Linked DNA regions of Rhinolophus ferrumequinum. The protein of the gene in region 1 purifies or fractionates together with the protein of each later gene. This does not show direct contact. Links are inferred from orthologs where the notes say so. Each region holds a gene or a part of one and is shown in the gene's direction. Other genes may lie near its edges.

What was found. Proteins that work in one complex are often made in the same cells at the same time.
Region 2: the proteins of AKT3 (region 1) and CDC37 purify together in Homo sapiens (co-immunoprecipitation; 3 studies listed by BioGRID and IntAct, counting the BioPlex papers as one, with this or other methods). This does not show direct contact. The link is inferred for Rhinolophus ferrumequinum from reciprocal best matches to the Homo sapiens genes AKT3 and CDC37.

The regions. Positions count from the first base shown.
Region 1 is NC_046310.1:17,132,919-17,140,329, forward strand, and holds the start of AKT3 (RAC-gamma serine/threonine-protein kinase), read left to right. Parts: upstream 1-4,398; 5' UTR 4,399-4,620; intron 4,621-7,411. UniProt on the Homo sapiens protein: AKT3 is one of 3 closely related serine/threonine-protein kinases (AKT1, AKT2 and AKT3) called the AKT kinase, and which regulate many processes including metabolism, proliferation, cell survival, growth and angiogenesis.
Region 2 is NC_046301.1:39,858,477-39,865,637, forward strand, and holds the start of CDC37 (hsp90 co-chaperone Cdc37), read left to right. Parts: upstream 1-4,158; 5' UTR 4,159-4,270; coding exon 4,271-4,372; intron 4,373-7,161. UniProt on the Homo sapiens protein: Co-chaperone that binds to numerous kinases and promotes their interaction with the Hsp90 complex, resulting in stabilization and promotion of their activity. Inhibits HSP90AA1 ATPase activity.

The DNA.
Region 1 (7,411 bases):
AAGTCGGGTGTAGATATAGAACTTTCCAGTTGATTCTGAAAGTATTTTCATTAGCAGAAGAAATTATGTTCAAAATGGGTGCGGAAACTTTCTGGAACAGAACTGTATTACATGAGACAACTGAGGAAGGAGTTGAGGTAACTATCTAGGGTTGGAAATGTATTATCATTATTTTACTGCTGGCTGTTGTATTGAAAAGTCCAGTCCCCATAGAACAGATTCTGAAACAACTAGAAATGCACACCACTTCAGGAAGTTAAAATTATATCCCAAAATGAGGCTTTGGGATTACAATATGTATGTATTAGTTTTATTTGCATACCTTGATTTTCTCACACAGCCAGGAATAATAATTATGTATGCTGTTGCTTTGGAATTAGAACATGAATTCTAGCTCAGTGTCCCACAGGCAGTTATTTAATTGTAGTCAGTAACTTTCTGTGACCCAAGAGTCCTGAAATACTAAATGTAATGTCTAGAGATTGCTTAATTGCTAACAGACGTAGCTGTCTGAGAGAGTGACAATACGGTGTGAATGTCTAGTAATGTAGCAGGGAAAAAAAATCTGACAACGAAATAAGAGGGAAGTTTCCAGATGGCCTTTACGTATCCCAGTTTCACGTGGCATCCGATTAGTGCGACACCTGTTCCTTAGGTATTCTCACGAATTACTGATACAGACATTTGACCTATGCCTTAAGAAAGACATTTGTGAAAAAGAGAAAAAGACAGTTAGTACTGATTACTATTGCAAATGACTTTTGTGCTACTTATACGTGGATATAAACTATGTTCTTTTGGAAATTGTTCTATTAATCATCTAGGATATTCACTAATTACAGCTGTAGGCTTAACATGGCTGTTTCGGAAATCAACTGTCACAGAGACTGGCTGGCTGTTCATCAGAACTATTTCTTTTTCTTCCCAGCCTAGACTCCACTTCATGGCCTGCCTTGTCGTTAGGTGGCTTGGGAGAGTTGTCGCTAGTGGAACATGAATGGAAGTGATGTACATAAAACTTTCCTTGAGTGATTCTTCATGCTTTTCCCGCTTCTGCCAGCTTGAAGTTGTGATTATGTGATAAACATGTCCGAGCTCTAATGTGGAAGAAACTTGGGCTTGAAGCATAAAGCTTAAAGGAGCCTTGCTTGTCATTCAGAACTTTACACGAATGAGAAATACACTTCTATAGTTGTGTGCCAGGATAGAATTTAGTACTTACTTGTTGTAGCAGTTATTGTTACAGTGAATATATTCACATTTATGGTAAACGAATTTTAGCTGGCTGACCACTCACTGTGTTTTAGATACTATCTAATATTTCATCACATTTAATTCTCTTAATAAGCTGTTGAAGTAGTTGGAACTGTCATTTCACATATGAGGAAATTAAGGCTTAGAAAAGTTAAGCAACTTGACTGAGACATAAATTCTGTTGAGAGGGGCTTTGAACTCAGGTCAACAAGTCTCCAAAATGCATTCATGATCTTTCCAATAAGCCATCCCAAGAGGAAAGTGCTATGTAAACTGCACATAGGGGGCATGGATGTATTCGTTCATTCATTCATCCATTCATTCAATAAACACTTATTCTATGTGTACTTTGTGTACCTGTTGTAGACACTGGAGACAAGAAACCCTTTTTAATAAGACAGAGAAGCAGTAACTTAATTTTTGTTAAATTTTTTGTTAAATTTCCAACCCTAGATAATCTGATGTCCTGAAATTCTAAATGTACCTTCAACTTGAACTTACTCCCAAGAAATGGTGGAAGTACTAAGAAATAGCTCTCAGTATCTAATTTACTCATTGGTAGTCAAGAAGAGTGAATATTTTTCTTAAGATGCATAAATTACTATTCCTGAGAGATGTTAGCCTTAAGAATATCTGGCTTAAAAAGAATGAGGGCTTTCTGTCTGTAATTTAGGAACGACATTTCCATGGATGAACATGCTGCTTCTCCCCATATTATTGGGATGTGGTAACAATAAAGAGAAGAGACTTCTAGCATACATTCTGTTCAGAGTCCCATCATACCACAATTGACAGAGTCTGCCAAATTCATGATGGCAAAGTCTGAGAAAGAACAATGCTATTTAAATAAATAATAGTTTTATAATAAATAAAATAATTCTGTAACAGCTAACATGCTTTTATTATAGAAATTTATGAAACTATTATAGAAGACCAAAGTAGAGCAGAAATAAAAGTTTACAATTTTTCAAATACTGTACAGGAAGCCTAGAGTATATAATCCATTGATAGTTTATATGAAACTTAACTTTAGTGTTTAATCCAGCTAAGATTTAATACCATCTGATGAGACTTAAGAGAAAGATTTTGAGGCAGTATGGCTCATAGGACAAATTTGGTTTTTCCAAATATGTTGCTGCTAAAGTTAGAAACAAATAAAAATTGCAATCGACGAGATATCTAATAATTCCGAATACCGTAACTCTGAGTTAAATATTTAAAAAGCTTTCCAGATACTCTTTATAGTGGTGGTGGTGTAAGGAACTATTTTCTTCAAAATAAAAGTGGATTGGGTCACTGTAGAATAGAAATCTGACCCATTTTTGTGTTTTACATTAAGAACTGTAATCGAATCATTTTGCCAATAGGGACTGTTAGAAGTCTGATAATTATGGGAATAAATTACATATATTTCATACACACATAAACTGAATAAAATTAGGATACAGTCTTTTATTTTTCAGTTTACTTAGTTCACCATGTGCTGGGAAATATGAGAAAAGGAGAAAAGCAGCAATTGAGGACTTTTCTGTCAGGAGAACTATGTATCTTAAAATGACAAGTTTTTAAGGTATAGAATGGCCAGGGAAACCTTACCCTTACAAATGGAGAAAATTGACTAAAAAAAAAAAACCTTTTTTCCCTTATTAGGTTTCATACTCTTGTCCACAATCCCAATAGATGTGCATTTCATAAGAGAGAAGATGTAGACATAGTTGTATAAATACAATTCACTATATAAATACCAGGGATATAGTACAAAAGAATGACTACCATCAATATTGTCAGGACATGGAAAAGCAGAGAAGGAAGTGCTTGTCAGGAGGAGAAACTGTTCTACAGAAATAAGCCACAGCATTAATAAGAAACCTTGCATTAGGAGACATAACAGGTATAGTGCCCTGTGGTGAAATAACATGGTTTTTTTCAAAGTGTTCAGAAGTGACAAAACATGCTGTAAGAAAAAACAAACTTTATGGAATGTGATGTATGGTAAAACATGGCCATTTTGCAAAAACAGTGTCTCCATTGCAAATATTCTCAGGAGCCATGAACTTCCAAAGAGAGAAATGGTATCGTCTTCGTAGCGAATGCAATACATCATGGCTTCCCCAAAGTCAATGAAAACTAATATCCCTAAAAAAGGAGTAATTTTAAGAGTGGATTGCGATCCTATTGCAACCTGGGTACTATGTGTGGTTATGACTGCTGGCAGGAAGCGCTGTGGGTGGCTCTCCGGAGAGGTGTACTTGGACTGGATTCTCGGGACAGAGAGAAATTGCTTTAGGTTTTGGACTGACACCTGAGGTGCAGATGGGTGGGGTCCGTTCCCGCGTACCCACGCGTGCCGAGTTCCCTCCGCACAGAGCACCGCACTTCTTGGTGCGAGGGCTCCGTGTGCCCGCCGCGCACCTCCGGCACCGCGGGGGCGGGCGGAGATGCCCCCGGGCTGGCGGCGCGCGCCGAAGGCAGCGGGCTGCTCACCGGGCAGCGAGCCTCCACGCCCCGGCCTCGGGTGCCCGCCGCGAAGGCGAGGGGAAACCCAGCTCTTCCCGCCCAGGAATGACGGCCCCCACTCCCGGCTCCGGCGGGCTGGGGGGATGTTCTCGCGAGAGGAGAGGGGGCGCGGGGCGCCGCGGGTTTGGGGGGCGCGGGGAAGCCTGCGGACCCGGGCCTGGCCGGGAGGAAAGCGGAGGCGGCGGCAGGCCGGGGACGCGGGGAAGCCGCTCCCGCCAGTCGCCGAGAGCCAGCCCCTGACGTCAGGAGTTTTCCTCAAAGTCAACAACAAGCCCCGCGGCGGCGGCGGCGGCGGCAGCGAGAACCGAGCGGCGGCGGCGGCCCCAGGAGGGAGGAAGGAGGGGGCGGGGAGGCGGCGGCGGGGTCCCCCCGGCGAGGCGCGGCCGGGAGAGGAGGCCGCAGCCCCCCGACCCGTGCCGGGCGCGTCCCGGGGCCCAGCGCCGCCGCCCGCCTCCCGCCGCCGCCTCGCCGGCGTGGCCCGGCCCCCGCCCGAGCGGTGTTTTCTGGGGATGAATTGAATTTGTAGCCGATATCCGATTCCCAAGTAGAGTCTCCGCCTCCTCCCTCCCCCGCCCGCCGCCGCCGCCGCCGCCGCCGCCGCCTCCCGCTCCAGCTCCGCGGCCCGGCCCGGCCGGCTCCCTCCCTCCCTCCCCTGCAGCCCTTCGCCTGCCCTCCCGCCGGCCGCTCCGGGCTCCAGGGGGCCAGAGGCTCTGCGGGGTGGGGGGAGGACAGGAGGGGAGGAGGAGGGAGGGGGACCCCCGAGTCGCCCCCTCTCCTCCCCCCGCCCCCCCGGCTCCATCCTCCGCCGCCGCCCGAGCAGCTGCGGGGCCGCCGCCGCCGCCTTTGCAGGTAACAGCCGCCGCCCCCACTCGCGCCCCCTCCCCGCCTTGCCTCCACCCCCTCCGGGCCCCCGGCATCGTCCTCCCTCCCGGCCTCCCTAGGGCGGGGGGCGGCGGCCGGGTGGGGGGAGGCGGGGGCGTCGGGGTTGTCACCGCGCCGGGGGCGTGGGCGGGGGCTGGGTCAGCGGAGGCTGTGGTGTGGGTGGGGAGGCTGGGGGATGCCCGGCGCGGATGACACGGGCACCCCCTCACTTTCCAGGGGAAGCTGGGGACGGCGGTGCGCGGGGGGCTGCGGGAGGGTGTCCCCGGCCTAGCGGTACCGTCCGCGTCTGGGCTGCCCCGGCCCTGGCGCCTTCAGTCTCTGCGCAACTCCATTCCCTCCACTCGGCCCTCCCCGCCGGGCGGCGCGGCGTGGGGAGGGGGCGCCCGCTCGGACCGGGGGGTGGCGGCGAGGTTACATAACGCGTGGAGCGCCGGTGGCAGTGTTTGGGTGGGGGGGAGGGGGCTGTCTGCCGCGCTCCTGCGCCGGGGCTGCCGGTGCGCGCGGGGTGGGGTGAAGGCGAGGATGCACCGGCGTCCCCCGGGGTCTCCTTCCTCCCCACCCACCCCACTGCCGGCGCGCAGGAAGGACGGCGCTGGGGCGGTGGGTAACGTGCTTGTCTGTGTTTTTAATAGTAGTGGGGTTTCGATCCGCTTGGGACTTGTGTGCTAAGAATAGAAATGTGCGGAAGATGCTGGGTTTGGCGGATCCAGTGATGCTGTCGCTGCTGTCGGCGGCGGCTCTGGCTGCAAGTAAACAAACCAGCCTCTTCCCCGTCCACCACCTCCTCCTGTGCCTCGGTCTGCATCAGCCATGATGCCGGTGGGGCCCTCCAGAGCCCTAAGTTGAAGCTTAGCGGGTTTGCTGCGTTCACCCTGACTCCTAGGCGGGGTCACCCCTTGTTTGGGATTTCCCGGGAATAGACCGTTAGGCTAGATTGAATCTCATTGGGGCCAGGTTTTCAGTACTGATACTTAGTTTATCTTCTGAAAAGCAGAGGAAATGCTTACCCATAAGTCAAGGCTAGAAAGCTCACATTTCTTACCTCAAAATAATGTGATGAAAATAAAACCAACTTACTTCACCAGTGTGGTAAATTGGTTGAAAGCCCAGTAGTTTGTAATTCATAACGTTTCCAAATAGAAATTCAACAATGAAATCTATGTATATTGACTAATTTCTAGTATTAAATGTTCACAGTCTTTAAGTTCATCTTAAATCTAAAAGGTACGAAATAATGACTTTTTTGCAGTGAATACATTGCTAACTGCCTCAAATCATCGGTTTAGATATGTGTTCCATATTTGGTAAAACGTGGTTATAGAACTTGTAGTAGACTGTAAATCATTAGACAACCACTGGGTTTTGTTTTTGGTGGAAACTCATTAAAGTAGATCATAGATTGTTAGGAAATCATTGGAAAAAACCAAAGGTGGAACAGTCCAATAAAGATGGTTTAGGAAACTTTGTCTTCAGAACTTGAGTGTCATTGCAAAATACGTATAAATTAATATGAATGTTTCAGGGGGTGGTCGACTAATAAAACACACATGTTCAGGACATAATTGTGTAAAACATGAAAATATTTTTATTAAAATATCTATTAATAAATTACTAGTTTCCAAGGTATATGACTGCACAATTATTTGAAAGATATATATCAGGACTGTAGGTATTTTTTCTTTTGGCAGTACATAGTCTTGACTTTGAAAGTTTACCAAAGAGATTATATTTGAAGATCTGCTTTTTGTTTTTCTCACGGGGGTTGACCCCAATATCTTTGATTGGCTTGAGCTTCTAGTTTTAAAGTGAGGGAAGTACGCATATCACATGAATGAGACAACACTGGAATTGAGATGAATGTAGAGTTTTAGTTTCTGTTGTATATTTGTGCTGTGTATTTGCAATAGTATGTTTGCTTATAGTATTAAAGAAATAGTCTAAAGTAATTCTGCCAAATTTATGAAACGTTTTTGTATTCATTTTGTCCTGTACACTTAGGCTTTCCATAATTACCTTAGTGAATTGTTTTGCAACTTGAACTTTTAGTTTGACATCAACTTAGTTTAAGTTTTGTGTGTCGGAGTACTTAAGGCTTCGACTTTGGACTTTTTTGTTTATGTAAGTTTATGGCTGTAAAATATTTTAAATAAGATTTCATTCATTCAACAAATGTCACAGAGTGTGAACTGTGTGCTAGGAGCTGGTTTGATTAAAAACTTTTCTTATTTACATTTCATTCAGAAGATCACTACCATGAGAAAGAGAATTTGTTTTCAGATGACTGCAAATGATCACATGTTTAACCAAAACATGTCATGGGACAAATGTACTTAGCATAAAGTCTTGTATAAAGTACGGATCTAAGATTTTTTAAAACTCTACCTTTTGTTTTAAACAAGTGAAAGTTTTTCTTTCTTACAAAAGTTCAGTGGAAATTTCCAACTATTTGGGGTTCTTTAAAAAGAGGAAACTGTTTTACCAAATTGATTTTGTGGAAGTTTAGAGTTTACTTCAAACTTTGCATATTTTGGTGAAAGGATAGCTACACTTTCTTTGTTGTTACACCTTTTAGTTCAAGAATTCACCCTTGGGAAGATAAGGTAATTATTGTTAACAATGTGTTAATTGGATTTTTAACATGATTTGATAGAATCTTGTCTTTAATCACATTGTGATTAAGATTAAAGCATTAAAAAACATTGAAACCATTTAAATTTGAATAACAACATGCAAGACAGAAAAATAAACCATTTCATTT
Region 2 (7,161 bases), on another chromosome or scaffold:
TGAACTGTGCAATCCCACAGGGCTCTACGTTTAGAAGGTTTAATGCGCTGCTATCATCGTCTTGAAATTCTTCATAATTTTGACCAGGAGCCCTGCATTTTCCTCTTGCCCTGTACTGTGCAAATTCTGTAGCTAGTCCTGGCTACATCCCCAGTGCCTGGAATAGCCCAAGATAGGTGCTCAAGAACATATGGAATGAAGGACGGAATGGAGGAGTGGATGGCCAGAGGAGCCCCACAGGCCAGGGGAGAGAGGTGACATGCATGTCACCACTGTCCGGACACACCCATGCACATTTGCAGCAATCCATCCTGGGAGAAACCTGGGCGCAGGAGGCAGGGCATCAGCTTCTAAGCCTGCCTTCCCCTCCCCTGGGCAGCAGGCTGTCTGAGGAGAGGGGTCCAGATGGCAGAGCAGGCCGCTCTGGGCAGCTGGCACCAAGCTCAGACTGAGAGAGGCTTTTTCCCCCACCTAGCTTGTCAGTGCAATCAGCCACAGGCCCACCCTGGGAGCCCCTGGCCTGGCTTAACAGAGGGGCGCTGGCTTCTCCCAGCCTGACATCCTGCCCACCCCCTACTTCTCTCAGGAAGATATGGGGACAGGTGGCCAACAAGAGGGAAAGGAGTGAGGATAAAGGCCGAGTCTACACCTTGGCCCTGAGCATCCAAGTCTGACAAGCTCCTTGCCTGGCACTGAAGTGGGGCTGGGAAAACTGTCGGCGGCCACGTGCATGAGACTTTGTACACAGCTGTGCATATTCAACTGACAGGTGGAACTTTCCACGAGTCTGAGTTTATATAGTTGAGACAAGACTCTACCTGTAGGAGTGTTTGTATGTGACAGGGTGACACCACATCAGTCTATGTGGGCATGAGGTTAGACGTACCTCTGTGTGACTGTGACATGAGTGTGTGTGGGGGAGAGTATTTGCATGTGGAGGCAGCAGGAAGCAGCTTTTCACAGTGGTTAGAAATGCCAAATTTGGGTTCAAATCTCTGCTCAGCCACTCACCTAGTTGTGTGGCCTCAGGCATATTATTTAGGTTCTCAGTGTAGAGTGTGAGTAGGATTACATTTGTCTGGATTTGTGTGTGTGTGTGTGTGTGTGTGTGTGTGTGTGTGTGTGTCTTGGAAGAGTAATTCCACTCCTCCAGGAGGTCTTCCTGGATATCCAACTTGAAATGGACCCTTTCCTTTTTCTTTCTTGTCACAAGCTGTCTGTTTCCTTCACAGCTCTAAGCATAATGTTTGTTACCATATTTATTTGTTTATGTTGTTTTTCTCTTCCCCCCAATAAATATCAGCTCCCTGGGGGCAGGGAGCCTTTTTCTGTTCACTGCTATGTCCCCAGCCCTTGACATGTAGTAGGCACTGAATACTTGTTGAATGGATGAATATCTGCATGGCACAGGAGAGGTAGTTTCTGCCTGGGTATCATAGGTTCCTGGAGAGACCGTGCCCAAGTCTGGTCTCTACTATCTTCCTTTCCCAGTTGTTCACAACCATTCCTTCAGCCATCCTCACTTTTATGGGAATGATGACACCTCATCAACCTTATCACCTCCGACAACATCTTTCCCATCCCTGGGTCTTAGGGACTCACTCAACCTCATTTGTAAAATGGGAGGATGGATGGACTGGTTCATGATAAAGCCGCCATTGTGATCTAAAATACTAAGGAAATACTCTGTGTCTAATTCCCTTTTTAATTCATTCGACATTTATTGAGCACCTACAGTGTACCAGGCACTGATTTGAACCTGATCTTGCCCTCATGGAGCTGAAATAACAAGGCAGACAGATACAAACGGTAAATCTTATTTAATCTCCAGCACTCCCCCGCCCACCACCACACCCCAACACTCTCTGTGCCTGATAGGAGTTTAGTCTGCACAGCCTGAAATCACCATGGGTATTTCTCTGTTTACATACTGATCTTGCTCCCTTACCAGTCTGGAAGGTCAGAAGAGCAGGGACCTGGCTGGTCTTGGTTGCTATGGCACCACGGCCTGGCTACAGTGCCCTGGCACATAGTAGGCACTTGGGAAATAGGTGTGAAATGAGCTAAGATATAAATGATGAGGCAAGGACAGGCTCGCATGCATGACTTCGTGTAAGCCTCGGTGTGCCATTACCCACTTTGCAGATGTGGAAATTGAGGCTCAGGAAGGCAAAGCCATTTACTGGGTCCCACTGCAGCTAAGTGTGTGGCTTACCGGATGCAGCAAAGGAAGCTTGGATAGCCCAAAGGAGCACTCCCAGCCCCCCACCCCCACTTCGCAGGTACCAGAGACAGCATGGGATGCGCTAACGGGGTGGGGGGGGGCGGGGAGAGAGAGACCAAAGGACAGTGCAAAACAACTCCGGGATCTCTATCTCCAGGGTTGGAGATACTGTGCTGGCAGGAGATAAGAAACGGTTTGGCGCTGATGGGAGAGCTTCCGGCGCCCTGTCCCCAAATCTGGAAGCTGGGGCTCTTGGGACCCGGTTTAACTGGGGCCAGTCAGCTCCAGTCTCGAGGCCAGGGAGAGACTCCTGCGACTACCCGGGAATCCCCGGCATCCGGGGTCCTCCCCACATCCCCCGCAGTCCGGAGGCAGGCCTGAAGCCCTCAGATGGCTACGGGGTGGAGGGCCGGCTTTCTTGGGGAGTGGGGAAACCCCCTCCATCCTGTCCACCTCCCTCCAGGGCTCCAGGTTCCCCTCCCCACCGCAGCTCGCAGCCCGAAGCTTACCTTGCAGGGGAGCTGGGGAGGGGATGCCCCGCCCTCTCCGGCTGGAGGGGGGGGCGGGAGGGGACAAGGGTGTCCAGACCCTTTGTTTGCTGCTGTGTAAGTGTGTGTGCGCGATTGTGAGACCCGCTGGGGTGTCGGTCCGTGCGCGCGCGTGCCCGGGCTGTGACGGTCTCTGAGATCCTGGACTGCTGGGGCTGGAGGGGGAGGGGAGAAAGACAGGGGGACTCCCCCGCCCCCGCCCGCCCACTGATTGGTTTGAATGGAGCCTGAGGTGGAGGGGCGGCAGCAGGAGGGGGCTTTTTTCTGGATGGCCCCATCCCCTCTCCGGGCAGGGGAATCCCCCCATTTGGAGACCTTCCAGCCCCCTTCCTCCAAACAAACGATTTGGAGAGCCTGGGAAGAGGCGCCCCTCACCTGAGGGTCTAAAGCTCCTATCATCCCCCCGGACCCTCACGGAGTGCCCTTTAATCTGAGATAATCCTGGCCCTAGGCTGCAACAGAGTCTTTTATCCCGGTATCAAAGTGTGGGTTGGGATTTACGAAAGTGTGCGTGCGGCTGGTGTCGCCCTAACTCAGAATAATGGAGTTCTTTGAGCGCGTCCAGACGAAAGGGAAGGGGCTATGAGCAGTCCTGGAGTATTACTACGTACGAGGAAAGCCCCCTTTCGCACCTCGGCTCTCCAAGACTCTGAGCGGGGCCTAGAGCACTGGCCGCTGGCTAGACATTAGTGACACCTAGCGGCCACACGGGGAAACGCCGCGGACCCGCGTCCGAGACACATTTGAGGGATCCAGGTGATTCCAGAGGGGGCGTATGCGCGAATCTTGGCTCTGGAGTGGTAGCAGATGAGAGCAGCACAAGGAGGCTGTGGTACTCCCATAGAAAATACCAGCCCCCAAGGCAGGGTCACATCGCCGCCACCTCCCACCCCCCAAGGGCACGGCCATAATATCCCTCTTTCACTAAGACCTTCCCAAGGCAGGGTCCTGCACCCCTGAGGGAAGGTCCTCTCAGATCACACACCCCTCCCCAGTGTAAATTAGGTCCCAACTCACAAGGGGCAGAGGGCGGGTCTCGTCGCCGAGGCCCTGCCCCTGCAGGGGGTTCGGGCTGATGTCACTGCGGCGTGGCTGAGGGGACAATCTTCTCCCTCAGTGTCGCCAACTTCACCCCCCGCCACGACCGCCGCAAACTCCCACTGAGGGGCAGCGAGAGATGAGGGGGAGCTTGAGGTTGGAGCTCCCGCCCGTATACCCCTAGAAGATGCCTAGTGGGAACCCCGCGTCGGATGAGGCGAGGTCTCGACCGGGACTCCCGGGGGTCGAATATGCGCGCTGGGGCCTTTAAGAATAACTCGGTCGCCAGTGACGCCGCCGCGGTTACTAGGGATTTGACGTCACGCGTGGGCGGAGTTGCGCGCCCCCGGCGGAAGCGGAAGGGGCGGGGCTCCGCAGGTTGAGGCTCCCGTGCTGTCGCTGCCGCCGCTGCTGCCGCCGCCGCCCTCACAGCCGGAGCGGGCTGGGCCACAGAGGCAAGATGGTGGACTACAGCGTGTGGGACCACATTGAAGTGTCTGACGATGAAGACGAGACGCACCCCAATATCGATACGGCCAGCCTCTTCCGCTGGCGGCACCAGGTAGAGCGCGCGCGCCCAGCCCCTTCCCCCACCCTCCTGGGACTCCGCTGCAAAGTTCCGATCCCTTATACAGCCAGGGATTCCGCCGTTGACACTTGGGATTCCCACCCCACAGTCTGGACTTTTAATATCGCCTAGGGTGCCTCGATTAAACTCCGGGACCGCAGAACTGCCGGGACCCTGAATTTTTGCATGGAACTCCCAGTTGACGCTTAAGGCACCTTCCTGAGTCTAGACTCCCAAGCCAAGCTTTGGGGGTGCCCCCTAGTCCCGTCTGGGACCTTTCATTTACACCCAGAGCTCTGCCTCAGAGTCTGGACCCGGGTCCCCATTTCTGATGTTGGATATCCCATCGGCCACTCCCCAGTCCCTAGAGTCCTCAATACTTTGAATCTATTCTGTGATATGCTTCCCTGGGTCTTGAGGGTGATTCCCATTAAGATCCAGAAATCCCACTTTTTTCCCAAACAGAACAAGAAACCGTGGCCTCCCCTGGGGTTTTTGTTCCTAACCTGGGATGCCACCCCACACCCAGGACCCCTACTCTATCCTGTAGACCTATGCACCACTAGGGCCCGTAGTCCCACCTGGGCCTGGAGTTTGGAACCCAGTTCCCCTCCAGACCCAACTACCAGCTCCACCCTGATGGAGCCTCCAATTCTGGCTGCTCTCCTTTAGCCTTACCTACTGTAGACCCCATTTCCCATGACACCAGGAAACCCTACCGTTGTGGCTTCCTGTCCAGCCACACCCCCTGCCCCTATTTGGCATTGCAGACCCAGGCACCACCTAAACCCCAAGACCAGCTTCCTGTTGGAACCTCTGCCAGCATTGGAACACCTCATCCAAACCCACTCTGCCTTGCCCCTGACCCCAGCCTGGTCTGCTGCGCTCAGGCACCCAAATTGTCCCTGCTCTCACCAGGAACCCTCTCTCCCAATCTGATTCCAAATTCACTGCCCGTTTTTATATTTGTCCCCAAATCCAGACCCCAGAATCCCGAGCCCCAGTGTCCTCCCTCCTCTTTCCCTGTCCAGCAGTGTCCACAGACCAACAGAAGGGCTCTCATAAGTCTTAATGTTCTAACCTCCTGCTCCCACACATCAGGGCTGCTGCACCCCCATAGCTGTGCCTGTTATAGTCTCAAATTGAGGGTGTGTTCCTCTCAGAACCTTCTACCCTCTGGTATGGCAACTCCCAGTCATGTATCCGGAAACTCCTAGAAGGGCCGTTTCCCATCTTGCCAAGGCATTTAGTCTCCACATCGGATCCCCAGTCCCATTTCCACCCTATTCCTTAGAGCAGCAGTCTCTTGGGTAGTGTACCTGCTCGGCACGCCACTGGAGTCTAAGAAGAAAGTTCTAGCACTTCTATTTCTTGTCATTTATTATGAAGCATTTAAGATCTTCACAAAGTTCTAAAGACCATTCTTGGGAACACATTTCTGTCACATAAAGAGGTTAATCTATCCTGCTTTGTGGAGACCGGTGCCCCCTCTCCTGTGGCAAATGCCTTCCACCTTGCCCTCTGCCCCCCTTCCTCCCCACTCCTGAAGCAGAAACGTTTCCTGTCTTGCCACGGAAAGCCTCTAGGCTGTTGCTGACGGGGCTCAGCATCTCCAGCACCAAGGAAGCTTGGGTCCTAATCCCAGCCTTGCCTTCACAAGACCATTGCAAAAATGAAATGAGATTAGATCTGAAAAGAATTTGGCTCAGGGCCTAGGACGGGAGGTGCGATTAGTGAAAAGGTAGCCTGGTGGCCTTTTGAGCCTCGGCCTGCCCACCTGGTTTCAGATCCTGGCTTCTGAATCCCTTGACTTGCTGCGTGACCTCCAGTGAGTTGTTTGAGCTCTTGGTGCCTCAACATCCCCAGCTGGAAATATTCATAGTGTCCACTCCGTAGGGTTGTCGTGCAGGTTGCCTTATTTATTTAATGTGTATAATACTTTTGGGACAGCACCTGGCATGTAATAAGCTCTCCATAAACTTTAGCCACCATCGTCATCATCGTTATGTAGGTAATTTACTCTCATAGTAAAAAGCAAAACAAAACACAGATTCCAGAAGGGGACAAGTGAGTCTTCCCTGGCTCCGCGGCAACCTTGCTCAGACAGCCGCCACTGGTTTCTTGTGGCTTCTTCCCGTAAGCTGTGCTGCCTCAAGATTCTAGGGGCATCGGTTTCTCTATCTGTAAGGCAGGAGGGCAGTGCACCTGCAGGCCCTGCCCACTCCTGTGGCTTCTGCCCTGCCCAGCATGCTAGAGTCCCTCCTGGAGGTGTAAAGCCCAGGCTGGGCAGGCAGCTGCCCCCACCGACTCCGGGCGGCCTTTATTTAGCTTTGGCCTCCCTGGCAGCTGCTCAGAGGACACCAGGAAGAGCTTGGTCGCCACCCAGCAGCAACCAGCAGGGTGGTAGGTTCCTGTGATATGCTTCCCTGGGTCTTGAGGGTGATTCCCATTAAGATCCAGAAATCCCACTTTTTTCCCAAACAGAACAAGAAACTGTGGCCAAGTATGGTGCCGACCCCAGAGAGCCTCTTTCAAGGTGGTGGGAAGGCACCCGGGCCACACAGGCCCTTGTGGAGAAAGGGAGGTTGCAGAGGTGAGGGCCTTTTTGACCCCTATCCACATGGGGAAAAGTGTGGCTTAGGATTGACTGTGTCAGTTTCTGGGGCTCAGGTCTCCCAGTTCTCACCCTCTGTATGCCTGGTCCTGTGCTAGAACTTGGAGATACAGCCTCGTAAAAGGCACAGAGCGAGTTAGCAGAGCATTCTGGTGGCAGTAGCCATGAC